Callithrix jacchus: one gene and its partner. Each later gene encodes a partner of the first gene's protein in a complex. Links are inferred from orthologs where the notes say so. Each region holds a gene or a part of one and is shown on either strand. Other genes may lie near its edges.

Region 1 (4,396 bases):
TGCATCTCAGAATAGCCATAGTGCCTCTACCCTTGATTTGAAAAATCTAGTCCCTGTGCCCTTTACTTGATTTGGCATCACTGAGCAATGACCTACCATCAGATGATACTCTACTAGTATTTGTTTATGCTTTTTATTACAATGAGAGCTCCATGATGAAGGAATCATCTAGGACTTAACTTCTGTGATCATGAAATAAAAAAGAAAAGAAAAAGGCCCCTGTAATACAGCATTCAGGGAGGTGTTCAAACAGAAATTGATTGAATGACTATTGGAGATGCCGTGTAGGAAATTCAAAGGAATTACATGACCTTTTAGGATGAGAACTTAGAATCTGTGGAATCATCTTCTCTGTAGGTCACAAAATTACCTTAAGGAAAATTGGGCTTCAGAATTGGAGAGTTGCTAACACTGATATGGTTTCTTTTGGTTTGTAAACATGTTCATTTAAGACTTTTTTTCTCAGTAAGCCATGAACACCTCAAAAAGTAGAGGATATCCATATGTGTTTATTTCTAGTGCTTAACATAGTTCTTGGCACCTGCAGAGGTGGGTAAATATCAGAGGGCAGTAAATATTGAATGAATGAATAGATTGATAAATTCAATCTTCATAGCATTTCTTTCTAAAAAGGTATTGTTAATTCCTAATTTATATAAGAAGCAGCTGAGATTTGGAGAGGTGAATTGATCTGCCCAGTCTCTTAGTAAACTAAAGAGCCAGGATTTGAAAGCAGGTAATTACCCCCAACTCCAGGTTGTTTTGCATCATAGCACAGTGGTATTTTTGTATGTGTAAACCTGTGCTAGAAGCCAGAGAAGGAGACTATTAGAGAAGGAAAAGGCAAGCTGTCTTCAAAGAGACATATCAGGACAGGCAAAAGAGGTCAAGGCATGAAAGTATAGGTTTAGGTGCCTGGGATATAGTTTGTCTACAGGTACAAGAATAGAAAATTGAGCAATCATTATACTAGAGTAGTAATCAGGAAAGAAGCCATTGCCTCTGATCTTAGTGTCTTGGCTTATTGCTGTTCCCACTACATGGAAAGTTCTCTCCCATTTCCACCTATTAAAAGCCCATCCAGTCAAAAGGTAGCGTGGTCAAGCAGTCCAAGGTGCAGGATTTAGTAGGTTTTAGTGTCTGTGGAGCCGTGGGTTTGAGTCCTGCTGCTGCCAATGGCTTTGCATCTTTGCAGATAAATGATCATCATAGATAAATCATCCTCTGTTCTTTGTAGAAGCCTATCCATCTTTCAGGATCCTGCTGAAGGATCCTGTTTATTCATTTATTCCACCAAATATTTACCTGAATCCTTGCTTTTTTGTTAAGTGGTTAGGTGGAGGAACTCAGGGATGAATGACCCACATTCCCTGTCCTTATACAGCTTATAGACTATGCAAACAATAATTGTGATATTTTTATGATAAAATCTGATAAATACCTTGAAGCATCCCCTAGAGAAAGGAAGCATAACTTAACAATCATTTCTGAACCTCAGTAGTATATAGCTTGCTCATTTCTTTATGACATTTATCCCTTTCTTGTACTTATGATTTTCTCACCTCCTTTATAAGAATGAGAGGATGGAGTAGCATTTTATACAAGGTGAGACAAGTAGATTCCCAGTAAATGTTTGTTATGTAAATGATGAATAGAACATTTAATATTTTTGAAAGATAAAATTTGAGTGCTTAATGTCTGCTAGGGATGATTCTGATTACCTCACATATTAATCAGTTTACTCCTATAGCAACCCCATAAAATAGGTGTCATTATTATCACCACTTTATAGATGAGGATAGTGAAGCACAGTGAAGTTAAGTAATCTGCCCAAAGTCATGTAGAAGGTAAAAATAAAGAGTTGGGGTTTAAGTTCAGGCAGTCAGGTTCCAGAGTCTGTGTTCTAAATTACCACACTGTACTGCCTCTTGATGAAGAACAAAAGTAGTTCCTTCCCTGCAAGGGTTCAGGATGTAAGGAGGGAGTAACTCAATAGAAGTTGGTGTTGTGCTACTAATGCAAAGTGCTCTGGGAATACAGGGTATTTCTTTTAGCTTGGGGATGCATAAAATGTTACAGATGAAGGGGATACTTATCTAATAAAATTGTCTTTAACTAATTTCTTTTGATAGTTGTCTAGCCTCTATTGAATATCTTTAGTGCTGAGATTCTCACTTCTATTGTGTACAGGGAGAGCAAGGAAGGCCGTTTTACCCAGAATGGATGGGCCTGGGCACAGAGGAGGCGTAATATAAATTTGGACATAGGAGAAAGGATGAGTTTATTGGGATTTGTTCTGTGGATGTTCTAACCTCACATCTAGGAGAGGTTCCCCTATGCTAACAAAGGCTGGCCTTGCCAAAATTTTGCACTAATAATGCAGGTATACACACGCTCTGTGATTGAACCACTTCCTGTCACTCCAACTCGGGACGTGGCTACATCTCCCATTTCACCTACTGAAAATAACACCACTCCACCAGATGCTTTGACCCGGAATACTGAGAAGCAGAAGAAGAAGCCTAAAATGTCTGATGAGGAGATCTTGGAGAAATTACGTAAGGAATTTGTAGCTTTCTGAACCTTTCTTTGCTCCATGACTGGTCAAGCACAGAGATGAGATTCTTGGTTTTAGGCTTTGTCCATGTGGCTGTCTGGCCATGCTTGGTACCTTAGCCACAGACTGCTTCTTACCCTGCCCCTGCACCTTCCTTCCATGTCTTACAGCCCTGGTTGGATACTATGTTAGAATGAAGATGTGGTGGGAGAGAGTGTGAATAGCTCACTTCGAGGGTAGGGCACCCTTTGCCCCTAGGCATGGATTATAGAGATAACAAATAGTTTTTCTCTAATGAATAGTCTAGAATGCCATGTTGAGAAAGACTGAGGACCTAGTGGAAAAGGGCACTCTGATTGATTATTGATGTTTTGCCATTGACCTAGGAGAAGACAGATCTGCCATCTTGGTTGTAGGAAAAGAGGGAAGGGAAGTTAACATTTTATGAACCTGTAGTATGTATCAAATGACGAGCAAAATATTTTCTTGACTTTTAAAAATTTAATTCTCTTGTTAACCCTGTGAAGAAAAGCATTATGGTCCTAATTTTTGTAATTAAGATACTTGAGGCTCAGGGAGGCTAAACATCCTGGCCAAAATCACACAGCTAAAAAGTGACAGGGCTAAGGTTAGAACATAAGTTTTTGTTCCTGTAAGTAGAGCATGTACTTGCTGTCAAGTGGAAACTTCCATTTTACTTTCTTTAGCTGCCAGAAATGGGGGTATGTTAGGGTAGCTTACTTCTGTATAAACTGCAAAAGAATTCATATTAGAAGGAAGAACTAGGTTGATCTGTGGGCTTGGAAGAATCATTTGACAAGGGCTTTAATTTATTCACTGTATCTACTTACTTCCAAAGAGGATTTGATGTGACTGATTTGGTGACATTTGCAAACTGGCATTGCTTTCCAAAGCCAAGGTTTCTGGTTCTCTAGTTCTTCCTGATTAATTCCCGTGTGACTTTAAAAAAAATTTTCACTATTTTAAAAATTGCCCTTTTCTGGATCCCTCATAAAATGACAAAGTAAGAAAAGCCACTTGTCTAGTTATCTAGTTACTCCTGTATATAGTCTTGTTCTCTAAACTAGAATTTTTTTTTTTTAACAATAATACCTAGAATTATGGAAAACAGACTTGGTCTGGGAGGTAGGACACTTGAGTTGAAGCTTCTGCCCAGCCACTGACTTGTGTCTTGGGCAATTTTCTACTGTCCTCTAAACTTTATTTTTCTCATTTTTAAAATAGGGATGTTAATACTTGTCTCATTTGTAAATCAAATGAGGTAATTTATATGAAAAGTACCAATTTTTAGTACTTGGGTATTAATGGAGAGCACATTGGACTGGGAGACTAAAAACGAAACTCCTAATCTTAGCTCTGACACCAATTTACTGTGTGACCTTGGGGAAGTATCTTCTTCCCTTCTGTGGGCCTCAATTTCCCCATCCCTAAAATACACGTTGTAATACCCAATGAAAAACCTCTATGTCTTTGCACTTGAAGTATTCTTTGTTGTAAACCTCTTCTCTACTTATCTCTCTGGCTAACTCCTACTTAGTTAAAGTAGAAATCAGTCTATATATCACCTTTCTGAAGCTTTTCCAGTCTCTCTCTCTCTCTCTCTCTTTTTTTTTTGGTGCCTCTTTCTGTACCCTTTTGTCATTTATCACAGCAATTATATTTTCATGGAACTTCATGCTTATCTGTCTTCTCCCATGAAATTGACCTTCTTGAGAGCAGGGACTGCCTTGACTGTGTCACATCTGTTCATTCCTACCTCAGCATATGGCTTGGTGCATATTAAATGAGTAAATATTTATTGAATGGATTAATTAAAAA
Region 2 (4,396 bases), on another chromosome or scaffold:
CTATGGAAAAGAACTTGGGGATTTCTAGCTTTAAAATAGACCTTGTTACTTCTCATTCAGGGAATTAAGAGGTGTACAATTTCTAGTAAAGTTTTCTATTTTATACTGAAGACATCCCCCACCAAGACCAATTACCTCCTGGCTGAGTGAAATTCAAACACATTAACTTTTACTTTTTAAGTTAGAAGCAACATTTCTCCAACAATATCCTTAAGATGATAATTAGAGCACAATCATTGTTACCACAACTAATTTTGATCTCTATAGTCAATGACAAACAATTTGTCCTCAAACACCCATACTTTCAATATCCATACTAAAATACTGGAAACAAATATATTTTTTAGTACTGTACTTTCTTGGGAAGGCCAGTCTAGCTTTGCTGAATGCATCCAATCATTACTAGAGACTGTAAAAATGCCTGAAAGAACCCTGGACTAGAAAGCAGAAGAGTTGTAATCCTAACTCTTCAACAGAATATCTGTTATGCATCTCTGAATCTCTTTATTTTTTAATTTTTTTTTTTGAGACGGAGTCTTGCTCCGTCACCTAGGCTGGAGTGTAAAGGCAAGATCTCAGCTCACTGCAACCTCTGCCTCGAGGGTTCAAGCCATTGTCTTGCCTCAGCCTCCCAAGTAGCTAGGACTACAGGCGTGCACCACCAGACCCAGCTAATTTTTGTATTTTTTAGTAAAGATGGGGTTTTACTACATTGACCAGGCTGGTCTTGAACTTCTGACCTCAGGTGATCTGCCCTCCTCAGCCTCCCAAAGTGCTAGGATTACAGGTGTGAGCCACTACACCTGGCCTCAGAGCCCAGTTTAAAAGATTTGATCTTCCTAACAGACTCATTTATAAAGTACAGACCATATTTTGTTTTGTAATTTGAAACTTCCTAAATAATGGATTGATAGAAACTAAGGTCACTCAATTTTAAATGTAATAATCATATTGAAACAGATATACTTACAGCTTGCATTTCTATACAGAAGAAATGGTTCATGGAGCTGAAATTCCAAATCTTTATTCACTGGTTCAACTAGATTGTGCATATTTAGTCGATTCACAATGGTAAAACCATGATAAGGGGAAGCTGACCTTAGATTTAACAGAAGAAAAAAAAATACTTAGTTACCATTTAATCTGTAGAAATGTTATCTACTATGTACTTTATTTTCATTTCAAAAAAGAATAAATAAGTTAGAACACTATACAATATTATCCGCACTTAAACCTGGAAACAAAACAATTAAGTCAGATCATACTCCTCTTCTGATGAGAAGTCTCTAAAGACAGTTCCTTAGAGTAAAGGCCAAAGTCTTTATTGAGGCCACCAAGGCTTTACTTGAGGTACTCCCCCTTCGACTTGGTTTCCTATTGCTCTTCCCCAGCAACTCTTCTCCAGCCACACTGGGCTCCTTGCCACTCTCTCTACATGTGTGCTTCTACCTAAAGACCTCTGCCTGGATCACTGCCCCAGAATCTGCAATAGGTATCTCATCTGCAAGCTTTTGTTCAGATGTCACTTCTTAATAACTACCCTTTTTAATGTTCCCAAGCTCAATGTCTCTAATCTTCCTCTTTTATCCATACCACTTATTTTTAATATTTATTGTCCTCCCCCCACTAGGATGTAAGCCCCATGCAAATGAAGCTTTTGTCTTAAGTTTTTCACACATATTTCCTAAGATAGACACACCACTGCTGAATGAAATATCAATTCAATTGGATTGGCTATAATGACTGCCCATCATTATAATAATGGCTTTTCTTGCACCAAATTGATCTTTACATAGCGCTCCTGAGTTAGATGAAAAATGCCTTGAATCTACAATAGGAAGCATCCTCGGTTCCCATATTAGAGGGATTCAGTACATGACCCCTTAGATACTCTTCACTTGTACCTAACACTTCATAGATTTTTATTTGTTTATCTAGGATACACATAGAGAGATTAGGAGACAAGTTTTGAATGATTAAGGCCTGTGCCTGAGGTCATACAAATAATGTAACTAGGATTCAGTTTCAGGTTTTTGACTCCAAATCCAGGCTTCTTCTATACGAAGTAATCTCTGCAAAGTGATATTCTGACATCCAGGTATACCTTTATCCAAGGTACGCAAAATAGTCTCACATTTTCCAAACAAAGTTTCTTCGGTTTCCTTTAATTAGAATCAGTACCAGTAAGCCTCCGCGAATTGTATTAAATCCATACACTCACTACACTAAATCTCCCACTTTCTACAATCAGTGCTTCTGTACTATAACAATAAAGCCAGTAAAGTTATTTTTCCAAATGTCATAGAAACCAAGATTCTAATAACAGAGTTTCTAGAGATTTATATTACGAATGAAGAGAGTGAGGGTAAAGATCCCTGCCTATTTAAAAGGAGAAAGATGAATAGCAGGGAACAAAGCGTCTAAGAAAGAAGAGCTTGGTGTACAAATATCAAAGAATTACACTTAAAAGAAGGAAAAAATGAGTGCGTTTAGACAAGATCTCAAAGCTTTGTATCAAAATTTAGAAGACTATTTGACAAATTCTTTTAAATTAGCATCAATGAAGAAAGGCAATCCTTAAAAGGTAACTCCATACAAAAAAAAAAAGAAAGAAAGAAAAGGAAAAGACCAGATGTCAGTAGTAACTCCTACTGACTCACTAAGCTTTAGAAAACAAGGGAAGGAACCTGTTCCTGTCACAGTAAGACCTTAGAGGAATATCCAGGAAAGCCAAGGACCCTGTGACTATAATATAGTGTCAGTTGTCTTTAGGCCCCAAAAGCTACATAACAAAAAAGTTGCAATGTGCAAACCAATCACATTTAAGATGTGATTATCTTAAAGACAATCTTAAAGTTAATCAGTTTTCGAAGAAGTTGAAAATAAAAAATTCATGCTATCGTGAATAATCCAAGCTTTCTAAAGAACTCTCAAACAAGATACTACACATAATCTAGAACTTCTGGGGGTTGGGAAAGAGGACAGAACCAGGCACAGAAGAAAAGAACAGAGGGATCGACCTCTCAATTACATTATTTTATAGAGCTAGTCTATGTATTGCCTTTTCCCCAAATATATGCCTTTTTTTTTTCTTTCTAATATGGGGGCAAGGGGAGAGAGGCAGGCATCTGTTTTAGACTCAATCATTTGAAATTGCTTTGCTAGGCTGCTAATATAAATTCTAGTTCCGTTTTTTCTGAATCACAGAAAGGCTCAGAGAAAAGAACTTGGTTAAGATTTCACAGCTAGAGAAGAATAAAAACTTGAAGGGGAGTAGCAGGAAGGTTCCAAAGACAAATGTACAACAGAATTGAACTGTTTGACACTGTTCACCATTAGACTGTTAAAAACAAATATACATATTTTAAAAACTTACCTTCGATATACAAATAAGGTCCCTTCTATATCAGTCTTCTCCTATGATAGACAATGAGTCAATTAGTTTTTTTTCCCCATAATCCAACCCCAAATAGTCCCAATGGAGAAGTAATGCGTCATGTTTAAGATCTACTTGTTTCATTTCATTTATTATAAAATTAACCACTTTTGAGGTAAAGTCTCCCTCTCATTCCATAAATTGTGGTTACTATGTCTAATGTATCCTTTCAGTGCTACTGATACATACATAAGCATATGGATTGTTTTTAATCCAGCAACATGTCTGTATCTGCAGCATTTTTTTTTTAATTAGTAAAGGAGAAAAATCATAGAATAAACCTTCACTTTTTAAAGCTAAAATGTTTTAGTCAGATTTCTTTAAAGCTAAGTTCCTGTATACTGCAATATCTTCTCCTTTAAAGTTTATACAAGTTAATTTTAAAAAAAGAAAGAAAGGGGCCAGGTGCAGTGGCTCACACCTGTAATCCCACCACTTTGGGAGGCAGAGGCAGGCAGATCATGTGGTCAGGAGATTGAAACCATCCTGGTCAACATGGTGAAACCCCGTCAATACTAAAAACACAAAAATTGGCTGGGCGTGGTGGCGCATGCCTGTAATCCCAGCTACTCGGCAGGCTGGGGCAGGAGCTTGAATCAGGGAGCTGGAGGTTGCAGTCAGCCAAAATGGCGCCATTGCACTCCAGCCTGGCGACAGAGACTCCATCTCAAAAAAACAAAAACAAACAAACAAAAAAACCCCACAAAAAATTAGGCAGGCGTGGTGGCACATGCCTGTAGTCCCAGCTACCTAGGAGGCTGAGGCAGAAGAATCGCTTGAACCTGGAAGGCAGAGGTTGCAGTGAGCTGGGATCATGCCCGTTGCACTCCAGCCTGGCAACAGAGCAAGACTCTGTCACCAAAAAAAAAAAAGAAAGAAAGAAAGAAAGAAAGATTTTCTTATAGGCTTTGTCTCATCACTGGGGAGTTTTGGCACATTTTTGCAACTAATAAATTTTGT

Evidence for each region. The genes of interacting proteins can lie anywhere in the genome.
Region 2: PAK1 (region 1) and DCP1A share a complex: the UniProt entries of both Homo sapiens proteins name them as parts of the cytoplasmic complex. The link is inferred for Callithrix jacchus from reciprocal best matches to the Homo sapiens genes PAK1 and DCP1A.

What each region holds. Positions count from the first base shown.
Region 1 is NC_133511.1:63,591,846-63,596,241, forward strand, and holds part of PAK1 (serine/threonine-protein kinase PAK 1), read left to right. Parts: intron 1-2,383; coding exon 2,384-2,558; intron 2,559-4,396. UniProt on the Homo sapiens protein: Protein kinase involved in intracellular signaling pathways downstream of integrins and receptor-type kinases that plays an important role in cytoskeleton dynamics, in cell adhesion, migration, proliferation, apoptosis, mitosis, and in vesicle-mediated transport processes.
Region 2 is NC_133516.1:35,874,731-35,879,126, forward strand, and holds part of DCP1A (mRNA-decapping enzyme 1A), read right to left. Parts: intron 3,418-4,396; coding exon 3,377-3,417; intron 1,099-3,376; coding exon 971-1,098; intron 1-970. UniProt on the Homo sapiens protein: Necessary for the degradation of mRNAs, both in normal mRNA turnover and in nonsense-mediated mRNA decay. Removes the 7-methyl guanine cap structure from mRNA molecules, yielding a 5'-phosphorylated mRNA fragment and 7m-GDP.